Drosophila melanogaster: one gene and its partners. Changing the gene in region 3 together with the main gene of any one other region gives a genetic interaction. Each region holds a gene or a part of one and is shown on either strand. Other genes may lie near its edges. The genes, in order: Trpml, Rel, ClC-b and PGRP-LE.

What was found.
Region 1: of ClC-b (region 3) and Trpml, changing one suppresses a phenotype caused by changing the other (phenotypic suppression), as found in Drosophila melanogaster (one study listed by BioGRID).
Region 2: of ClC-b (region 3) and Rel, changing one suppresses a phenotype caused by changing the other (phenotypic suppression), as found in Drosophila melanogaster (one study listed by BioGRID).
Region 4: of ClC-b (region 3) and PGRP-LE, changing one suppresses a phenotype caused by changing the other (phenotypic suppression), as found in Drosophila melanogaster (one study listed by BioGRID).

What each region holds. Positions count from the first base shown.
Region 1 is NT_037436.4:19,713,910-19,720,055, reverse strand, and holds Trpml (transient receptor potential cation channel, mucolipin), read left to right. Parts: upstream 1-1,727; 5' UTR 1,728-1,987; coding exon 1,988-2,356; intron 2,357-3,057; coding exon 3,058-3,908; intron 3,909-4,048; coding exon 4,049-4,787; 3' UTR 4,788-5,638; downstream 5,639-6,146.
Region 2 is NT_033777.3:9,043,675-9,049,848, reverse strand, and holds Rel (relish), read left to right. Parts: upstream 1-1,871; 5' UTR 1,872-2,413; coding exon 2,414-3,325; intron 3,326-3,621; coding exon 3,622-5,625; 3' UTR 5,626-5,666; downstream 5,667-6,174. UniProt on the Drosophila melanogaster protein: Transcription factor that plays a key role in the humoral immune response as part of the peptidoglycan recognition protein (IMD) signaling pathway.
Region 3 is NT_033778.4:12,570,233-12,575,825, forward strand, and holds ClC-b (chloride channel-b), read left to right. Parts: upstream 1-1,835; 5' UTR 1,836-1,905; coding exon 1,906-2,145; intron 2,146-2,268; coding exon 2,269-2,373; intron 2,374-2,457; coding exon 2,458-2,659; intron 2,660-2,749; coding exon 2,750-3,721; intron 3,722-3,780; coding exon 3,781-3,950; intron 3,951-4,001; coding exon 4,002-4,388; intron 4,389-4,446; coding exon 4,447-4,605; intron 4,606-4,661; coding exon 4,662-4,745; intron 4,746-4,809; coding exon 4,810-4,932; 3' UTR 4,933-5,067; downstream 5,068-5,593. Other genes in the region: stil (stand still), read left to right, coding at 217-411, 488-760, 913-984, 1,103-1,528.
Region 4 is NC_004354.4:15,800,634-15,805,519, reverse strand, and holds PGRP-LE (peptidoglycan recognition protein LE), read left to right. Parts: upstream 1-1,639; 5' UTR 1,640-2,193; intron 2,194-2,429; 5' UTR 2,430-2,812; coding exon 2,813-3,011; intron 3,012-3,080; coding exon 3,081-3,380; intron 3,381-3,443; coding exon 3,444-3,557; intron 3,558-3,772; coding exon 3,773-3,837; intron 3,838-3,909; coding exon 3,910-4,269; 3' UTR 4,270-4,367; downstream 4,368-4,886. Other genes in the region: CG15602 (uncharacterized protein), read right to left, coding at 4,624-4,881. UniProt on the Drosophila melanogaster protein: Peptidoglycan-recognition protein that plays a key role in innate immunity by binding to murein peptidoglycans (PGN) of Gram-negative bacteria and activating the imd/Relish pathway. Has no activity against on Gram-positive bacteria.

The DNA of each region.
Region 1 (6,146 bases), on a different chromosome or scaffold from region 3:
CATACATACATATTAGAGAAGCCGAAAAAACCGTCTAGTCACAAGGTCTTCAGACTAGTTATTGTTTTATATAAAATAAACACACACCCACACATCTAAATGTACGTTTGTAAATGTAACACATAAACACAACGACACACATATTTATACGACGATGGAGAATCAAAATCAAATATTTTATGTAAATGTAATCGAAATTTTCTGCTTTCCATACACGATGCGCAGCAGCAAACAAATTATGCTTAAACAGAAACTAGTTAATTTATGTATTTGAAAATCAAAACGAGCGTGAAAAATGTAATGTATCAATGTGTTTTGCTAGTACGTAGTTAAGTGCGTGTGATTGTACGTAATATTTAAGTCTCTAAAGCTAAAATAATAATTATAATTAATTGAACGCGAATTGTGAGCAGAGAAGAGCGAAAATGCGCCCGATGAGAGGTGTTTTAGCTGTATGTATGTATGTATGTATATTTTTAAATGAAAATTTGTTAAATTTGCCATATATAAATACAAACGAGAAACTATTAAAAGTGTGTTTGTCCAGATATGCTTAAATGGTGCAAAATGTTCAATAGATGGTAGATACGAGGGTGAATCCTGCGGGAAAGACTAGAAACTTGGAGAACACTTCTTCTAAAAGAAACATTTTTAAAATATTCCGAGCACTGGGAACAGTTGTGTTTTGTGTTTCGACAAACATTTCTGAAGTCGTGGTGAATACAAAAAAACATGTTAAGCATATAAGAGATCACTGTAAGTGTGATCTCACGATAAGATCTCTGTAAGTTCTTGCAACTAAAGCCATCGATTCATTGGAACTCCTTTTGAAATGTTTATGCACTGGGAACAGTGAAACGTATGGGAAGACTTCGTGGGTTTTATCAAGAGTTCTTCTTGGGCAGAAAGAAAACATTTGTTTTTTCCTGTGAGTATTATATTTGCTCCAAATGATTATGTATTATTTTACGCTTTTAGTTTATTGGAACTCCTTTTGAAATGTTTATGCACTGGGAACAGTGAAACGTATGGGAAGACTTCGTGGGTTTTATCAAGAGTTCTTCTTGGGCAGAAAGAAAACATTTGTTTTTTCCTGTGAGTATTATATTTGCTCCAAATGATTATGTATTATTTTACGCTTTTAGTTTATTTTTTAACTTCAATTTAATAAGATAACTAAGCATTAGTGACAGATGTTGACATATGTAAGTACGTACGTATGTTTAATGTAAAATACAATGTCAAAAATGAGGTAGCAGTTTTCAAGACCGCAAAATAAAGTTGATTTCTCATAAATTCAAAAATATAAAAAAAGGAAATAGTCATATTTCTTGAACATAAAAGAATAATAAATGGATGGACCTCAATATAATTTTGAATGTACGTCCATGTAGCGTCGATGAGTTAGCTGCGTTAGAGGAACGGCGGAATTTGGAATACGGGGAAGTTTTTAATTAATTATTTTTTCGATATTTAGAGCTGAGTTCTATAAACTGAACTCGTACATAGATAGTTAGATCTTTTCTTTCTTAACATTATTTAATTTTTTTTGGAATTCACCTCCAAATAACGGAAAAAAATAAATAAATAGGAAAGTTCTCCATGTTTCATGTTTCACCGTGCTGCACTTGAATTTTGACTACCGATGAAAAGGCGCGCGATTTAAATAATCGATGATTGCAAGCAACTATCGATGCTGAACTCTATTTGGAACAGTCGATTATATCGAATAAACATCTGTAATCGTTTAAACCTATTGAAAACAAAGCAATTTTCGTGGTCTTTTGGCCAGTATTTAATATAAATTCGCTGGCAAAAGTCGCGTATTAATTGCAAAAGAACACATATTTACCTCCCCTCCCCCGATTGCTTGTTGCGCCTGTGCGGATTCTTCTTTTGCATGTCGACTGGGCGGGCAAAAGAAAGTTAGCACGGAGAACAACAACGCAGGTGACTTGACCTCGCAACGAAGGAGGAGCACATCGAGATGCAGAGCTACGGCCCCGGAGCCCAGACAGCTCCGGCCGTCAAGCGCCGCACGGACAGCTACGAGGCTGCCCAGCAACAGCAGCAGTCGCCGGAGAGCGACGAGGAGTACGTGAACACCAGGATACTGCGGCGCCAAGTGCAGCTGCAGTCCACTCCGGTGGCCCCGGTGGTGCCCATGCCCATATCCGCCGGTAGTGGCACTGCCCCACCCTCCGTGGATGGCCGCGAGGAGCAGCCCGAATTCCCCGGATCCTCGGCTGCATCTTACCAGGAGGAGCGAATGCGCAGGAAGCTTCAGTTCTTCTTTATGAACCCCATTGAGAAATGGCAGGCCAAGCGGAAATTTCCGTACAAGTTCGTTGTGCAGGTGAGTTCACATCCGGGTTTCATTTGCAGTTCACATCTGGATGAATGCTAGTTAATTGAAGTCGTGTGATGCGCGGCGTTTGGGGGCGGAACTCGGGTGACACATCTGAACCACTTATTTAGGCATTTCTCTTAATTTACAGACGCCTTTAAACAGCCGTCTCCGATCTTCAATGTTTGTCTAGATTTCGAGCATGTAAAATGGGGTAGAGTCAACACAGTCTTGATTACTTTGCTTGCATTGTTAAGCCCCTCCACTCTTATCGATGCCTTATCTGATAGGTCCAACTATTGTTAGCACAATACGTAATAAACAAAGTGAAAATTCAAGAATTTTATGGCTAGAAACTGCGTGTGGACGCTTTTGTAGAACCCAAAAAGTTATTTAATATGCGATAAACATCGTGGTCAGGGGGATTTCTTTTGTGCGATTTTTAATGATTAATGCGAAAATGTTATGACTAGTCTTTAAGTCTACACTTAGTCTCTAAGGTCTACAACTAAATTAGATTTCCTGTAGATACCCAATAAATATAGTCTGACGCATGCTCTAACATAATTCGGCTTCTATTTATAGCCCAGCCTCTAGATCTCTGAACTGGCGACCAAGAAAAGGTCCGTCCCCTGAGGCCAAAAGGCAAATAGAAACTTTAAAAGTTATACTATAAACATTTCTTAGCAACTCAAGAATTTTTCTCTTAGATTGTAAAAATCTTTCTGGTGACGATGCAATTGTGCCTTTTTGCCCACTCGCGGTATAACCACATCAACTACACGGGTGATAACCGATTTGCCTTCTCACATCTATTCCTGCGCGGCTGGGATTCTTCCCGGGAGGTGGAGAGTTATCCGCCTGCTGTGGGTCCCTTTGCTCTATACCTCAAATCGGAGTTCTTCGACACTGTGCAGTATGCAGTCAATGGCTACGCGAATGTAAGCCGATCTATTGGACCATACGACTACCCGACGCCCAATAACACAATGCCGCCACTAAAGCTTTGCCTGCAGAACTATAGAGAGGGCACCATATTTGGCTTTAATGAGTCCTACATTTTCGATCCACATATCGACGAGGTGTGTGAGCGACTACCTCCGAACGTAACCACCATTGGGGTGGAGAATTACCTCAGGCAGCGCGATGTGGAGGTCAATTTTGCATCTCTTGTCTCCGCACAGTTGACGTTCAAGATAAAGACGGTTAATTTCAAGGCAAATGGTGGACCTCTTTCTGCTCCTGATTGTTTTCGGTTTGACATTTCCATAACGTTTAACAACCGAGACCATGACGGGCAAATGCTGCTCTCACTGGATGCGGAGGCGACGCGGCTGAAGTGCCACGGAGCAACGGACTTCATATCAGACGCCAATTTCGATTCCATGCTGCGAAGCGTACTTAATATATTCGTCCTACTAACATGCGCACTATCCTTTGCACTCTGTACAAGGGCTCTGTGGAGAGCATATCTGCTGAGATGTACAACTGTCAACTTTTTCCGTTCGCAATTCGGCAAGGAGCTGAGCTTTGACGGCCGACTGGAATTCGTTAACTTTTGGTGAGTCCTTTGTTTTGTGTTATAAAAACCTCGGCTATATTGGCAACAAGTATTACCCATAATGCTGAAGGTTAGGCCGACGTAAACCCAAAAATTATCAGAAAGGTTGCAGACTATAATAAACCGTTTTGCTTTCGCAGGTACATCATGATCATTTTCAATGACGTCCTTTTGATCATTGGATCAGCTCTAAAAGAGCAAATCGAGGGAAGGTACTTGGTGGTGGACCAATGGGATACCTGCTCGCTTTTTCTGGGAATTGGCAACCTGCTTGTTTGGTTCGGAGTGCTGCGCTACCTCGGCTTCTTCAAAACCTACAACGTTGTGATACTGACGCTGAAAAAGGCGGCACCAAAGATTCTGCGCTTCCTTATCGCCGCCTTGCTGATCTATGCTGGATTTGTGTTTTGCGGCTGGCTGATCTTGGGACCCTATCACATGAAGTTCCGATCGCTGGCTACAACGTCAGAGTGCTTGTTTGCGCTGATAAACGGTGATGATATGTTCGCCACCTTTGCCACGCTTTCCAGCAAGGCCACCTGGCTGTGGTGGTTCTGCCAGATCTACTTGTACTCGTTCATATCCTTGTACATTTATGTGGTCCTGTCGCTGTTCATTGCCGTCATAATGGATGCCTACGACACGATAAAGGCGTATTACAAGGATGGCTTTCCCACCACCGATCTCAAGGCATTTGTCGGAACGCGCACTGCAGAGGACATTAGTTCTGGTGTCTTCATGACCGACCTGGACGACTTCGACCAGACGAGCTTCCTTGACGTGGTGAAGAGCATTTGCTGCTGTGGACGGTGCGGTCGGCATCAGGAGCCCGCCCAGCCCAACAGTGGTTACACCAGCCTTTCTAGTATTATGAAGTAACTGGGTGCGCTATGTCGACCCGCAGGTCTTCATTTTGTTTTGTTTTGTCAGCTTTATGTGTGTAGTCAAACTTGTTGTTAGCTTTTTGTATTAGTTTGTTAATTTGCCAAAGCACTTGAACCGAGATAAGAGAAACCATAACGTACGTACCTATGAGAAATTCCAAAAGCAGCTGCTCTGATCACAAACAGCGGGCATGTTCCGATTTTATCTTTCGCAGCAATGGCTTTAATTCGGTTTGCAGAAATATAATTCTGACTGAAATTCATTTTTCTTCAATACAAAAATTACAAAATGTATAAGACCAAAAGGAAAAACTAAATGTAAGGCGAATTTGTGTCATTTCTGCGAAAGTAAAATCCGAAAAATGACTAAGAAAGGGCACCAAGCAACGCTGTACGCTGGGAAACCACAAAGTCGCAAATTTGTTTTTGTAACGCGAGATATTAAGTGTGTGATATAATGTGGAACCAGAATCGGAGAACAATGGAAATTATATTAGAGGGAGCTATTTTTGTTAGCGATATCGACATGGGCCTGGTCAAGATCTTCCATGAAAACGAATGCATCCGAATCGAGTTTTCATAGAAATCTGAAAGTCACAGCAAAAAATTGTATAAAACTGCACTGGTCGACAAAATGAGATTTTTGGCAGTCTAAGCAAATAGTTATTTTAGAAAGTGTTTAGTTCGGCATAACACAACATCGATTTTTGTCGACTTGTGTCAATTTCAGAAGCCATAGATAAGGAAACATTAGGTAACTATATTTTATGTGTACAATGAAAACTTTGTATTTATAACCAAAAACCACAAACACAATAAACTGTTTATAGAACGATTGAATTGAACAAATTGCACTTTGAACCAAAATTTATTACAACGATATGCAACAAAAATGTGTACAACAAAAATAATTAATTGTGAGCTTAACCAAAACGAGGAACAATGAAGTCTACTTTTATCTTCAGATGTAGGTGGCGCAATGTTTTAATGTTTTGACCAGGAAGACAATCGTTAAATTATTTTGTGGTAAGGATACATCCAAAACAGTCAACATAATAAGTGTCAAGAAACCAAGCGAAACATTTCTACAATCGGATAATTGCATTGCAAGAAAAGAAAACCCAATAAAAGGGAAAGGAATAAATGGTTTCACAGTAATTGGACATTTAATAATTTGGCCGATGTTAAATTTTTGCGGTTTTAAGCGTGAATTTCATTGAATGTTTTGCAAGAATTCGCCGAAACGAGATGAGCAAATTTTAATGAAATGGAAAACTGGTTCTCCAATTGACGTAAATTTCATCAGGCAGATGCTGTGCGTCTTCGTTGAAGCGGAAACCGTCCAAGCCAAAGA
Region 2 (6,174 bases), on a different chromosome or scaffold from region 3:
TATGGAATAGGTAATGGGTGATCAGAGGGGGCTGAACTCAAAGGCTTATCAGTGGGAGACGTTGGTGGCCCCCTGTGGAGCAAATTGACGTCACCGGCCAACAGAATCCAACTTAATCTCCGAGTGCAGTAATCGGAAATCAGATTTCGTCATCCGCCGCGTCGAAGAAAAACAAACTATTGAAAAATAACTCGTGTCGGAAATTTTAGAACAGCAAATATTCCCAACCAAAATCGTAATCATGTAACTGGTAATAAAAGCAACAAAAGTTGTTCTCCACGTCTTTAAGAATTTCCTAAATAAATATTTGTGCACACAAGGCGAACTTTTAAAAATTTTCATGTTGAGAAAATAAAATATGTTCAATATGTGTTTAGCTATTTTCCGCGTTGTTTCAAAATCGAAAATCCATATATGCACATATGTATTTGTTCCGTTTTAAGCCATATTTATATGCACACAGTTCAAAACTTTTATCGACAAGTGTTTAAAGCTTTTAAGTCGCGCTCGCTCGCACACGCATATTTAGTGCGCTGAACCGAAAAGCTTTTATCCAAAATATACAAACACGTGCGAGGCTCATTCAGTGATCTGTTTCGTTCTATACAGTCCATCGGTATCCGACAATCAGTGCAGTTCGAATTTTCCACCAGGAAAATTTCGCAAAAGCCAACAAAAGAAGTCACAATAAGGTATGCTGCTAGTGAAAATTGGCTAACAAAAATCCATAAAAAATACATAATTGACCTTCAAAGAAATTTGAATAGGCGTTCTTAAGACACGTTTGCTTTTATCAAGCCAAGAAAACGAATTTTCCTTTGTCCGCATAAAGAGCTAATTTTGTAGCCTGCCTATTAATAACTCTAGTCTAGACGCAGACTAGTGGTTGCAAAGTCAAGACCCCGATTTGTTTATGTTTTTCCTGCTAATTGATTATCAATATAAACAAACTCATCGTCAACTGATAAGGTGTAAAAGCATTTACACACACACACCCACACACCTTGGCATGGTAACAAGAGTAAGAGAGGAACGGCGAAGTGAGAAGATTGATTAACACATCAAAAAGTGCAAAGGGATCGTAAATACATACATATATACTCTAAGTGCAGCCTGGCAACAGATCAGCTGTTTCTGCGTGAGTGTGCGTGTGTGTGTGCGCGGGTCCAGTGGGAGTGGAAACCGACTGAATTGCAAATTAGTTCAGTGGCGCATGCTTATGTAGTTTTTTTTTATCATTTAGCACAAGTGTCTTAGGATAAAAGAACATTCCGGTGTTTTAAATTTTCCAACCATGTTGCGACGTTCTATAGGATCCATTTCGGTCTTGGCTTCCCGGAATTACGCCGGAAAGTCTAACTTCAGGTGTGTATGCTCATAAGAAAGTGAATCGGGTCCGAAATAAAACGTAATATCATACGAAGAAAAACAAAGCGTGCGCTAGAGATGAGTGCGTGACGAAAGTGAATTAAGGGAAAAGCCAATGGAAAGCGTAAAAATATATTATTAATAATACTAATATTCGGTACTTGCATTGCATAATTATTATTATTTTATAACACAGTTATAAGTTGTTACGCCGGTTCTCATTATAAATTTGTATTAAAATTCCTTATATCTTTATATTTATATAAGTGTTGTATTATTTATATTAATATTTTGTATTATATACCTTTATATCTTTTTGTCGAAATAGGTTAAATTATATTTATAAAAATTAATCAAGAATAATGGGAACAAACAATCGCGTACGCTTCCATCCCTAGATTTGTAGAACATCTGATTGGGGCGTTGCCACCCAACTCGTTTTATCTGCCGGTGGCAGCTCTGCCTTGTTTTTATTTTAGTGTGCGCGGTGTGTTGAAATCAGGTATTCAAATAAATGAATTTGAACCGTAGTTTCCGTGAAAAGCTGACCCGAAAGCTCGGCGCAAATAGCTTAAACCTGTTATCAGGGCAGCGAGCGTTTTGCTCGCAACTCGTGAGCGATACTACTTGTGTTCGCGCAGTGCTTCGTTCATTTTCGTTCCAGCAGTGGCGCACTAAAGTTCCCCGATTCGCTGCGTCGTTTTTCCATAAATTTGCATATATGTATTAGTTGGGTGGAATACATATAAACAGTGTGATTTCGCTCTGTAAACAACAACCGCGAATCCAGAATTCCGTACATGCTTATAGTATAGCCGATCAAAAAAATCACACTGAGTGGTGCGCCAGAAAAACCCGTGAGTCATCTCGACGTGGCCGCCGCAGATAATTTCCCATCCGCCGAACATCGGGGAAGTACCTAAAACGAATGGTCAGCCATCGGCGGAGCTCGTTTCGATCATTAGCGTTCCGATCGGCGAAGGCAGCGGATCACTTTTGAGTTGTTAAGACGCTATTGATCAGAAATATTGGATTGATACGGACTATGAACATGAATCAGTACTACGACCTGGACAATGGGAAAAATGTGATGTTTATGAACGATGCATCCAGCACCAGTGGCTATAGCAGCAGTACATCACCCAACTCCACCAACCGATCCTTTTCACCAGCCCACTCCCCGAAAACCATGGAACTGCAAACGGACTTCGCCAATCTTAATTTGCCCGGCGGCAATTCACCACACCAGCCGCCAATGGCAAACTCACCATACCAGAATCAGCTGTTGAACAACGGCGGAATTTGCCAATTGGGTGCTACCAATTTAATAAACTCCACTGGCGTTAGTTTCGGCGTTGCTAATGTCACCAGTTTTGGCAACATGTACATGGATCACCAGTACTTTGTGCCCGCTCCGGCCACTGTGCCACCGTCCCAAAACTTTGGATACCATCAAAATGGCCTGGCATCTGACGGCGATATCAAACACGTGCCGCAGCTGCGGATCGTTGAGCAACCGGTGGAGAAGTTCCGCTTTCGGTACAAGAGCGAGATGCATGGAACACATGGATCGCTAAATGGCGCCAATTCGAAGCGGACGCCCAAAACCTTCCCGGAGGTTACACTGTGCAACTACGATGGACCCGCCGTCATCCGGTGCAGTTTGTTCCAAACTAACTTGGACAGCCCACATTCCCATCAGCTGGTCGTGCGCAAGGACGATCGGGATGTGTGCGATCCGCATGATTTGCACGTGTCCAAGGAGCGCGGCTATGTGGCGCAATTTATCAACATGGGCATCATACACACCGCCAAGAAGTACATATTCGAGGAACTGTGCAAGAAGAAGCAGGATCGCCTGGTCTTTCAGATGAACCGCCGCGAGTTGTCCCACAAACAGCTACAGGAACTGCATCAGGAGACAGAGCGTGAGGCCAAGGACATGAACTTGAACCAGGTGGGTAAACCAGCGCGTAAACAATATCGAGTTGCTTGCTTCGATGAGGTGAATATGCACGTTTGCATTTATTATTCACACGTTTAATTGCTCACTTTAGAATGCTTTAGTCAATTAATTATAGGTTGCATTTGCTACCTTTTAATCTTTTTATTTAAGCAGTCTGTAAAGTATCTACTCGTTTAGCTCGAATTATATAAATTTCTCTGCTAAAATAACTGAGCAATATAACATCGAAGCAATTAACTTACTGAAAAGCAACAAAGAACTCACTAAAAAAGTAACACCAACTTTAGGTGCGGCTCTGCTTTGAGGCCTTTAAAATTGAGGACAACGGCGCATGGGTTCCACTTGCACCGCCTGTATACAGCAATGCAATCAATAACCGCAAGTCGGCACAAACTGGAGAGCTTCGCATCGTCCGCCTGAGCAAACCCACTGGCGGGGTGATGGGCAACGATGAGCTTATTCTACTGGTGGAAAAGGTCAGCAAGAAGAACATTAAAGTGAGGTTCTTCGAGGAGGATGAGGACGGGGAAACCGTGTGGGAGGCATACGCAAAGTTCCGCGAATCGGATGTACACCACCAATATGCCATTGTGTGCCAGACGCCTCCGTACAAAGATAAGGACGTGGACCGCGAGGTCAACGTGTACATCGAGCTCATTCGTCCCTCCGACGATGAGCGCTCATTCCCGGCGCTGCCCTTCCGCTACAAGCCACGGAGCGTAATTGTGTCGAGGAAACGCCGACGAACCGGGTCCTCTGCCAATAGCAGCAGTTCGGGAACAGAAAGCTCTAATAACTCGCTGGATCTGCCCAAAACGCTGGGCTTGGCGCAGCCACCAAATGGCTTGCCAAACCTTTCACAGCATGATCAGACTATAAGTGAGGAGTTCGGACGCGAAAAGCATCTAAATGAATTTATTGCTTCCGAAGATTTCCGCAAACTTATCGAGCACAACTCTTCTGATCTCGAGAAGATCTGCCAGTTAGACATGGGAGAGTTGCAGCACGATGGTCATAACCGGGCGGAAGTGCCATCGCATCGAAATCGTACAATTAAATGCTTGGATGACTTATTCGAAATTTACAAACAGGACCGCATATCGCCAATAAAAATCTCGCACCACAAAGTGGAGAAGTGGTTTATCGAGCATGCTCTGAATAACTACAATAGAGACACGCTCCTGCACGAAGTGATCAGCCACAAAAAGGACAAACTGAAGCTGGCCATCCAGACGATACAGGTGATGAACTACTTCAATCTGAAAGATGTGGTCAATAGCACTTTGAATGCGGACGGTGATAGTGCCCTGCATGTGGCGTGCCAGCAAGACCGAGCGCACTACATACGACCTTTGCTGGGTATGGGATGCAATCCAAATCTGAAGAATAATGCCGGAAATACCCCACTGCATGTGGCCGTCAAGGAGGAGCACTTAAGCTGCGTGGAAAGCTTCCTTAATGGAGTGCCAACCGTACAATTGGACCTCTCGCTAACGAACGACGATGGTCTGACGCCTTTGCACATGGCCATTCGACAGAACAAGTACGATGTGGCCAAGAAACTGATCAGCTATGATCGGACCTCGATTAGCGTGGCCAACACAATGGATGGTAATAATGCACTCCACATGGCAGTTCTGGAGCAAAGTGTGGAGCTATTGGTGCTCATTCTGGATGCCCAAAATGAAAACCTTACCGACATCCTGCAGGCACAAAATGCAGCCGGCCATACTCCCTTGGAATTGGCCGAACGCAAGGCAAATGACCGGGTGGTCCAGCTGCTGAAGAATGTGTATCCGGAGAAGGGAGAACTGGCCATGACCTGGATTCCATGTAAGGTCAAGGAGGAGATCGATTCATCGTCGGACGAAAGTAGCGATGCTGGTCAGCTGGAGATCAAGTCCGAGGAGATGGACATCGAAACAAAGGACGAGGATTCCGTGGAGTTGGACCTAAGTAGTGGTCCAAGAAGACAGAAAGATGAATCCAGTAGAGACACCGAAATGGACAACAACAAATTGCAGTTGCTGCTCAAAAACAAATTCATTTACGACCGGCTCTGTTCGCTGCTGAATCAGCCTTTGGGACATGGGTCCGATCCCCAAGATCGGAAATGGATGCAACTAGCCCGCCAGACGCATCTGAAGCAGTTCGCCTTTATATGGCTGGGCGCGGAGGATCTGTTGGATCACGTGAAAAGAAAAGGAGCCTCTGTAGAGTTTTCCACATTTGCTCGTGCCCTGCAGGCAGTGGATCCACAGGCTTACGCCCTACTGGTTAACCCAACTTGATTATGTATTGAATGTTGATCAATAAAGTACCTTAGTTTTACAAATACTATTCTCTTGTGGAATGAAAAATACGCGAAACTAGGATGCCTGGGATAGCAAGCTTTATTTTTAAATATCAGAGCATTAATTTATTTTCCTTTATTAGCATTTATTTAGTTTCCTTTATTATTCCATGGAATCTATTCTTTAGAATAGTTCTATAAGCAATCTAAACTTGTTCCCTCAAACAATTACCATCGGCGCCCTGCATGAGATCACTAGCAAAAGGGGATCCATCGATAGCTCGGCATTAAAAAGTACATTCTAAGAATGGGGAATCACTAATTTTTCATTGCCGCTCGCGCACGCCGCTTGGTAAACAAGTGGGTGAATCATACATGTACTTATGCGCCTAAGTGTGTGTTGTGGGGGAATTACTGTTGCGTAACTGCAGTGACAGGCGGGGATTTACCGACAGCCCTTATCATTCCCGGTTTATGACCTTTCCTGCTATATTTTTTCAAGAATATCGCAACTAAATAATGTTTTAAGGAATAGTACAGTGTAATC
Region 3 (5,593 bases):
GTTGCCAACTTTAAACGTACAAAGGGGCCTTTTTCTATTCTTTTTGTCTATCTTCGGTTAGTCAAGAACCGTTGCTTTTGCCTAGTTCTCTCTTTCATTCCATTTTCTTCCTATTCCTGCGAGGAGAGAATCTGTATCTTCCTCTGCTTTGACATTCCTCCTATTCCCTTCGTTCTCGAAAGCTAGCAGGTTCATTCCCATTTATGAAACTGAAAAATGTCCGTAAACTTGGACGGTTCTGAAGAAAAGATGGAGCTGAAAAAGCATGTGCCGTACATCCTGAACGGGGAACTGTATCGCATCGAGAAGCAGGTGGGCGACAATGTTACGGTCAAGTGCTGCTACTGTCCGCCGGATCGGATTTATCGCGGCAGTGTCCGCTCCACCGGGAACTTTCACATGCACATCAAGGTAGGGATTCCACCCATTTGCTAGGGGTAAATGAAAGTTATTAACGTGGTTTTATTTTGGCAATCCCCGTGCGCAGAGACGTCATAGTTCCTTGTTGGGCAAACTCCATGAAATGAAGGTGGCTGCACTGGAAGAACGCCGTGATCGGATCATGAAAAACCGACGCTTTGCCAAGTCGCGCAAGAAGGCACCAGTTGCGGTTGCAGCCACAAGTACAGCTGCGCAGAGCGATTCCGGGGTGTTCGTGGACATGCAAGCTGCTGTTCCGTCTGGAAACGAAAGCCACGAGCTGAAAATCAAAACGGTTTTTCAGCGCCACAAGCAAGAGCAGGAGGGAGCTACCCGCAAGGTATGTTTTGGGTGGGCAGAAGCGAGATGTCGACATCTCTCACCTTGCCTTTTACCGTTAGAATCGAATACTGTATCTGTTCGGATAGCGAAATAGCTTAATGTATTGTTGTGACATGTATTGGTGAGCTTGATATCTCCGTTTTTTTCCAGCTCGAAGATTCCACTTCAGATAAAGCTAATCTACCAAATATCCCTAAGAACTTGGGAATTGTCGTTCAGAACGTAAGTTTCCTTTATTCGCAAATAAATATACATATATATTTTGTAGATCATATTTTAAATATCAAGTTTTGAACATATTTCAATATTTAATGAAGCCTATTTACATGTATTTTTTCAGGTCTCAAACATCTCGGTGGAAACACTGCCCGGCGGTTCGACTCCTGCCAGTGTCTCCTTTCTGGGTCGTCCTGTCAAGCCTGAGCAGGGTAGTGGTCCGTCATTCCTGGCTGATCAGCCGGCTGCCATAGATTTGAGCCAGGTTCCACCAGTGCAGGGCGAGAGTAAATCCAGTGGATCGCTGGCTTCATCGATGGAGGACGTCTCCATGGAGTACTCACGCTCCCAGGCCCTCTCACAATCGCTATCCATGGCCCACTTCTTGGAGCATCCTCAGCGAGATGTGCTGCAGCGCCTGGAGCGCTCGATGGCCCAAATAAGTCAGGAGTTGCACTGCCGCAACCGCATCGAGCACAACCGCATGTTGTTGGAGGCAGCCAAGTTCAAGTTTCTAAATCCGAATTTTCAGTTTGAGCCGAATCTGTAAGAGGCTCAATAAGGAAACCAACTAGACTCCGCGCCAGATTCTGAATCCAAACCAAATGGCAAAACGTTCAAAAACAATGCATTGATAAAAGACTAAGGCTGTCCTAAATATATTTCTAAAATTAAAGAATCTACAGAAGTTTTCGATTTAGGACCACTAAAGAATGGTTATATTTTGCTTTTTTCAATAAAGTATCTTTAAAGATTCGCTTTCGAGATTATCTGCGAAAAAAGCCCTCCATAAAATACTAAGTTGCCGAATAATCGAGATTTTGGTATTTCTCAATGGCCCACGAGTAACCATACTCTCATTCGGCTTTTGTTCTGTTGCTTTTTATTGTTTGTTGTCGGTCACTTGTGTTATTATTGTTTTAAATAATGGACGATAGGAAGGCACTGATTACCCTCGATGGCGAATCAAGCGCTGAGGATGATCCAATCATACTCCAAAAGGAGGCAGGTCCAACTTCCAAAGCTGTGCAGGATTTCGGACTCCACCAAAGAGAAGAGCCCTCCACTAGTGCTTTAGCTAGAAGAGCGACGCTTTCGGGGAATAACCACTTATTGGATGATTCTCAGCCACTGCTAATGGGCAACAATTCAGTGCCTCCCGATATTGTGAGTATCCAACCATGTAACTAAGGTAAACTAAATTAGAATGAATCACCGCTTCGGTTTTTGAGCGGGCTTATCTCTAAACACTCATATTAATTTTATTTCCTTATGCGCTTTGTTTATAAGCCAATTAATGGAAGTGCAGGCAGCCCGAATAGGAACATCAACAGCAGCGAACCCATTTTCCACCTCAGATCCCGAACAGCAGCCGCATCCACGCCCAATTACGAGGTACGTACATACATACTCGTACATATGTACACATAGGGTGTGGAGCTTGACCGATACGATTATCAAAAACTTATGCACTTACAGAGCTTGGACTACGAAGTATGCGAGAACACGCTCTTCCAGGATGAGCAGCGAAAGAGGCTGACAGAGCGATTCTCCCTGCGCAAGGACATCATAAGATGGATCATTTTTATACAGATTGGCATTATCACCGCACTGATAGCTTGCACCATAGATATTATAATCGAAGAGCTCTCGATACGAAAGTACACCTTCCTCTACAATTGTATGTTTTAGTTTTCCTTTTGCTAAATTTATTTCATGGAAAATTAAGTTGTGAACATTTATTAATGCATACTAAATGTTTCACTTGCAGCTGTTAAGGAAAATGTACCCTTAAGCGATGCTTCCGATAGAGATCTGCTGATTCCCTACCTTTACTGGCTCCTCTTCAGCATTGTGCCCGTGGCCTTTGGAGCAGCCATGGTCACCTACATTGAGCCCATAACCGCTGGCAGTGGGATTCCACAGGTGAAGAGCTACCTGAACGGCGTCAAAATACCGCGTATTGTAAGAATTAAAACGCTGGCTGTGAAGGCGATTGGAGTTATAACCTCGGTGGTGGGTGGTTTGGCCGGAGGAAAGGAGGGTCCAATGATACATGCTGGAGCTGTCGTCGCCGCCGGAATTTCGCAGGGCAAAAGCACCACGTTTTTGAAAGATTTCCGCATATTCAAGGCTTTTCGGGATGATCACGAGAAAAGAGATTTCGTTCTTGGAGGCGGAGCCGCGGGAGTTTCAGCTGCTTTTGGAGCTCCAATTGGAGGCATGCTTTTTTCTCTGGAGGAAGCGGCTAGTTTCTGGAACCAGAATCTCATTTGGCGCACCTTAGTGGCCTCCATTATCAGCGTATTCACCTTGAATATCGTTTTATCAGCTTACCATGGCCTAAACGATTTCACGTTCACGGGTCTCTTCAACTTGGGCAAGTTTGATACGCCTTTGAAATTCGACTACTTTGAGCTGCCCATCTTCATGATTCTGGGAGTAACTGGTGGATTACTCGGAGCCGCCTGGAACTCTCTTAATACCAAAATCAATAAATTTCGGAAGCGCTTTATTCCGTGGAAAATCGGAAAGGTTCTCGAAGCTGTTGTAGTGGCAATGATGGGCGTAACTTTGGCTTGTCTAATGATTTACTTTATCAACGATTGTCGTCCACTGGGCAACGATCCGACCAACAATCCTGTACAGCTTTTCTGCGAGGACAACGAATATAATGCCGTGGCTGCCTTGTGGTTTCAAACGCCAGAGGCTACAGTCAGATCCTTGTTCCACGATCCTCCAGGTGGTTATTTTTAAGAATATACTCTTATAGTTTTAATCATTTTTGTTTTGGTTTCTTAGGATCCCATAAGATTCTGACGCTAGCCCTTTTCACAGTTGTTTACTATGTGCTGTCCTGTGCTACGTTTGGTCTCAATGTGTCCTTGGGTGTCTTCATCCCAACTGCTCTGGTCGGCGCAGCATGGGGTCGTCTTTTAGCCATGCTTACCTACTATGTATTCCCACAGGCGGTAAGCAATGTAAACCAAACCATTTTCCATAAACTAAACCATGATTTTCAGGAGTTCCTGCATCCGGGTAAATATGCCCTAATTGGAGCTGCAGCTAACTTGGGTGGAGTGCTTCGAATGACCATTAGCTTGTCAGTTATATTGATGGAAACCACTGGCGTGGAGACGTCCTTCTTCTTTCCCCTTATCATTGCACTTATCAGCGCCAAGTGGGTCGGTGACTACTTCAACGAGGGCATCTACGATACGCAGATCCAAGTAAATCATGTGCCCATGCTGACCTGGGAGCCATTGCCGCAATACAAGGGTCTGAAAGCTCGCGAAATTCTAAGCAAACCAGTGATCTGTATCAAGATCCGCGATTCCGCTAATTACATATATGAGATGCTCAAGAAGTGCGACCACAACGGATTTCCGGTGGTCGATGATGTTTGCGGAGTAAGATCAAAGAAATTTCACATAACTCCATGTTATTAGTATTTTACCAATCTTGCAGGATCGTCGATCGGAGGGTCGCGTTTGTGGCATCATCTTGCGCTCGCAACTGATTGTTATTTTGCTCAAATCCCTGTATGTGGAGAACAAACGATTCTGGCTGCCAGAAACTTCAATTCAGACATTCAGGGACCTCTATCCCCGTTTTCCATCAATCAAGGTATTGATTTGTATTACAACATTATTAAGGAAAATATTTCAAGTTTCCTATTTCAGAGTGTTCGCAAGCTAGATGAGAAAATCAATTACACTGTGGACTTGTCCATGTTTATGAATCCATCACCTATTCGAGTCAATCCGGTGAGTAATGTTACATTTTTTGAAATTTCTCCAAGCACTGTTTGATTATCCAATTGTTTCTTAGCACGATTCGGTGCCTAGAATTTTTCAGATATTCCGCGCATTGGGGTTGCGTCATTTGCTGGTCATCAACCATGAGAATCGCATTGCTGGCATTATAACGAGAAGGGATTTTATTTACAAGTAACTTTGCATTAAATGCACTTTTACGAAAATTTATCGAATGCCAAAAGTGGGTCTAATCAATTAAATATTTTCCATTCACTTTTGATAAACTTTTGTTTTAATATCTGCGCAATACATTTTTACAATTTAACTTAATAACCTTAAACGCGTAAAATATATAAACAATAGTATTCACAAGGAATTGTACACGGTTTGTATGTGGGTGTTTTGTTTGTTTTGTATTAAAAATACGTTACACTTATGATAAAGTAAAAGAGCTTGGTTTTAAAAAATCTTAAAACACTAAACAGACGTGTTCTGGTTCCTAGTTACTAGCACAACTGTCTCGATCGGTTTCTAGTGCAAAATCGTTAAAAATATCCGTGACTTAAATTGTGGTCTTGCGATTGTGTTTAAGGTGTATGTGGCTCTAGGCGTATAAACTTTATATCTTAATTCTAAAAGCGCATCAATAAAACAGGACGCTGCCGTCGTAAAATTAATTCTAAAATTTATGCAACGTAAGACTATAAAATTCTTATTTAGGAGCACTTTCGCCTAAGATTAAATGACTTTTTGTACAATATGAAAAAGAGCTTTCCTTCGTTCATCAATCAATTTCCAGAGCCCAATGCCATGCCGGACATTAAACAGTCGATCGCGCGTTGGTATAGCTGCAATCT
Region 4 (4,886 bases), on a different chromosome or scaffold from region 3:
AGGGGGAACAATGGCTTGGGTATTATTTGTTTATTTGTATTTATACGTATTTTTTTTTTTTTTGCTGGCCCAACTCGCTTCAGTAGTTTTCCCGAAGACGATGTGCGGGTGTTTTTTGTGATTATTAATTTATTTATTTGTTTTTTTTTTGAATGGGGTGCAACAGTTGTGCTGCAATCAGCACAAATAAATCTTTGTGGGTGATTCATAAGCTGTCAAATAAACGCATACAGCACTGCACAGCACAGCAAAAAAAATGTTGGAAAAAAAATAAAAATAAAAACACGATGTAGAACAAAATATTGGTATTGGGCAGAATGGCCGAAAAGCGCTCCGAATTACCTGCGCATTAACAATAACGGCGCGAATCGGATAGGGATACTATCCAATCCAACACTATCCAATCCCAATCCACTCCACGCTCTCTATATGTAAACTTAGCACACACGAACGCAAATTTACACTGGCATACATGAAATGCAATTATTATTATTATTATTATTATTATTATTTTTTTGTTTCCACGGTCTGTTTCAGATCCGGTTGCAGCTTATGCGAAGCTAATTAAACTAAAACTATAACTACAACTTTGTTTACACAACACACCGCTGGCCGAATGCAACGTCGAATTGTGCTAAAGCGAACCCATTATTTAAGATTTCATTAAATCCGCGACGTTTTTTCCTCCAGGGCACATCATCTGATGTTGATGGTTTTTCTCAAACTTTGCGCTTATTTTTACCGGCACACGGCGCAATCTGTTTGGCTTTGGACTGGGTACGAACTTGTACTTGTACGGTACACCGATAGAACAACATATCCGACGGATAGCGACGAACAAACGGAACGGGATGGGTTTGGCGGATGGCGGATGGTGGATGCGGATGTGGATGGAAATTCGGTACGAGAAGAAAAAACCGCAATTCGATTATATCTTATGGCTGGCGTTTGTTTTAATTTTAACTAATGTTAACTAGCTCTCGCAATCGAAATAACACAGACAGACGCAAGCGATGGCATAAACAGAACTACCAATAAGAAATTATCTCAAAATGTATTTCAGGCAAAAAGTAAAACAGTAAAAGCTCTTCTCATTGAGCATTCGCATTCGCACTCGGCTGCTTCCATCGAAAAATTTTTCGAAACTGAAAGCAGAAATATATTTTTCTGGCCATTCCAATTCGACTCGAAACTCTCTCGCTCTCTTCCTCGCTCTCTTTGTGCGCGGTTCCAATCGGAACCAATTGTGGAACCTAAGAGAGCGTTAATTCTAAGATTTTACATAAAGAGAATCCGTTTTTCTCTTTCATTTTCATACATTTTTATGTTTTCTCTTCCCCTAAATTATGTTAAAAGCTTTAATACCAAAGCTTCACTTTATTTGACAGCTGATTCAGCTGAAGGTGATTGCCGCCCTTTTTTGAACTCCACTAAAAAATGCCTATTTTGGTATATTTGATTAGGTTATCTGTTGATTACAATATATTTAAGCTGTTTGTCCAATTAGCGAAGATATTTAAAAAGTTTATTTCACTTTTTGATATGCTTTTAATTTAACTTTTAAATTAGACTGTGTTCCTGTTCGGAATACGGTCACACCGGAACAAAAACATAAACAGACCTTTGAATGCATTCCACTGTGCAGTCAAAAGTAATAAATATAAGCTCCTCAGTTTTATACGTCAAACTATCGCTTAAGCAATGTATAAAATTAGTTTATAAGTTGGTTACATTTTAGTTTATTCTCTTTTAATGGCTCTAAGTGACTATTAAATCCGTGTTGTGGTAGCTCTTTGGTTGGCTTGAATAGCCAGCAGTAACTAAATATAAAAATAAAGAAAGTAATTGAGAGACTTGGAGGGAAGAACAGCGCATACGCGAGAGTGGTCGAGTGAATGTTTACAGCGCATGAATTAGGTTTTGGTGGTTTATCTGAGTACCTCTAGCCCCATGACTAATGCTTAAAGATGGGCTGACTTGGGTGTAATCACCTGCCTCTACAGGTTTATTATCAAACACGGTGCAGTGTTGCAGTTAACTGCTTAGCATTAAAGCCCAATATAGGCAAGAGTGTTGGAAAGCTCATCTTTTCCAGCACTGGGTGCATTGTACCTCCAGTCGATTTGATTGGTGAACCAAACTGGTTATATTTTAGCCAGTGATAAGGGGTTTTCGGATCTGGACAAAGCATTTGTATGTTTATATATTTATATATATTATATTTATTTATTTATATATATTTATTTACTTATTTATTTATTTATATATATTTATATATTTTCATAGAACAATATATATATGTATACAGAAATATATGTCCAAAACGGTTAAAGAGGGATAATTTAAACTATTTTTTTTTGTTCGTATTTAAATTTTTGTAAGCTTTATATGGTTAATCAAATACTTATCGAAATCTGAAACTCAACTAGTGGATGCGGCCCACTGTATGTACGATACCGCTAAGCTCCCTTCAAAGGCAGTGGAATTGTTCTAAATGCGAACATCGATAATACTTATCGATATCTAGACTGATCCTCGATATCCATGACAATAATTAATACACATGACTAAATATGCAAAAAAAAAGCCCCAAGTGGACTGATATGCAAAAAAGCATTTCACCACGGCACCTGCGCATATAATGGTGGATAGCCTGTGGAACGTCCTTATCTTATCGTGTAAGGTGGACACGACACGAACACTAATCAGAGAATAGAGCAGTTCTAACTCACAATATTGATAAACAAAGTAAGGGCCAGCCGAGAGATACACGCGCATTTATTGGCAGCAAACAGAAGCCAAAACTACGGACATGTCCGAATCGGGAATCAAAAAGTTGAGCCAGGAGCGGACTCGCGAATGGTTGGCTAGTCAGGAGGACGAGGAACTGGAGTCCATTGCAGAGTCCTCGGTTGTGGACAGCTTGGACTACGATTATACCGAGGAAGAGGAGGATGCCGACCAAAATACCAGTGAAGAAATCAGCACTATGACACTAGGCACTCAAATCGGTGCGTAGTACTCAAGATCAAGTTTCTATATTCAATTTATAACACTTTCAATATATCCCCACCTTAAAGCTACCAAAAAGCATTCGATCATCAGCGACACCATAAGGGACCTTATGAACTCGATCAACAGCATTCAGACTTTGGGCAACGTTAATATAAGCAACTCCACGAACGTCCATATCGGCAATGTTACCAATATTAATGGAAATATACAAATCATAGCCGATGGCCTTACTCAAAACCGAAGAGATCGGCGGCATGTTTCACCACCGAGAGATAACGCTCCCAAAACTCCGACACATTTCGAAGACGACTATCAGGACGAGTCGGAGGAGAGGGTGCGCTCGGATGTGTTCATCAGGCGCCAGAGTAAGCTATCATTCACCAGGGGATGCATACACGTTAACCATAGGATACCGATTTCACTTACAGAATTCAAAATACCCAAGGAGCTGTCCGCCATCATTCCGCGCTCTTCGTGGCTAGCACAGAAGCCCATGGACGAGCCACTGCCCTTGCAACTGCCTGTTAAATATGTGGTTATCTGTGAGTATTCAAGTTTGCTGCACGTTTTAACCATTTTTTTGCCAACTGATTATAAATCAAGTTGTCTGTAAAAGTATGACGCAATAATTAAAACAATTTATACTATTTGATCTGACCATCATGCTTAGCACTCACTAACCTAAGATTATATCGTATTATAACTCTTTTCGAATATATTTAAAACCTTGATTAACAAATATTGTTTTACCACGCAGTACACACAGCTACAGAGAGTTCAGAAAAGCGGGCGATCAACGTAAGACTTATCCGTGACATGCAGGTAAGTATTTCGTTAGCGAAATTAAATCATATATGCTCCGAACTATATAATAATTATGTATATATATTTCAGTGCTTCCACATTGAGTCGCGGGGATGGAATGACATTGCGTACAACTTCCTGGTCGGCTGCGATGGCAACATCTACGAGGGACGCGGATGGAAAACGGTGGGCGCCCACACTCTGGGTTACAACAGGATCTCGCTGGGGATCAGTTTCATTGGATGCTTCATGAAAGAACTCCCGACGGCAGACGCCTTGAATATGTGCCGCAATCTGTTGGCCCGCGGCGTTGAGGATGGTCACATATCCACCGACTATAGATTAATTTGTCACTGCCAGTGCAATTCGACGGAGAGTCCTGGTCGGCGATTGTACGAGGAGATACAGACATGGCCCCACTTTTACAATATCGAGGAGGAGGAACAATGAGGGACAAAAGAAGAGCACCATTTCACATACTTAGACTTAAATGCACCCGAGTTACGTTTATAATGTTGAACATTAAATCACCTGTTTATAAATTTTCCAGCTACTGGCAGTTTCGTTAAGTTACTTTATATTTTGGTATAGTTTTTGCAGCGCTGAAAGGTGGAAAAACCACAAGATGTTTCGGAACCAACATCGCCTACCTGTTTTAATTCACAACTGAAAGAGAAGCAACAATTATACTGCACAAATATGAGCGAGCTAGCACCACATAAATACAGACAATAGTAATGCATTTGCTGAAAACAATCTATAATTAAACAAAAATTTGCGTACAGTCAAGTAAACAATTAACAATTAGAAGTGATTTTCTTTAAGCTTTGGCGGAGCCGAATACTTTTCCTTAACGTGAGCACGGTACTCCTCGTCATCATCGTGGCACTCCTTATAGCATAGAGTGCAAAAGAGTTCCCCACCACATCCGTGGCATCGGAAGTCGGCGTCTTCGTTACAAATATTGCACCAGGGCAATTCTTCGGTGTTGCCGGGCGACTCAGTGTTAATTGGACTAATTTCACTCTCGGAAGGTTCTGGTAAGCGCGATTCTGCTACATACTGAA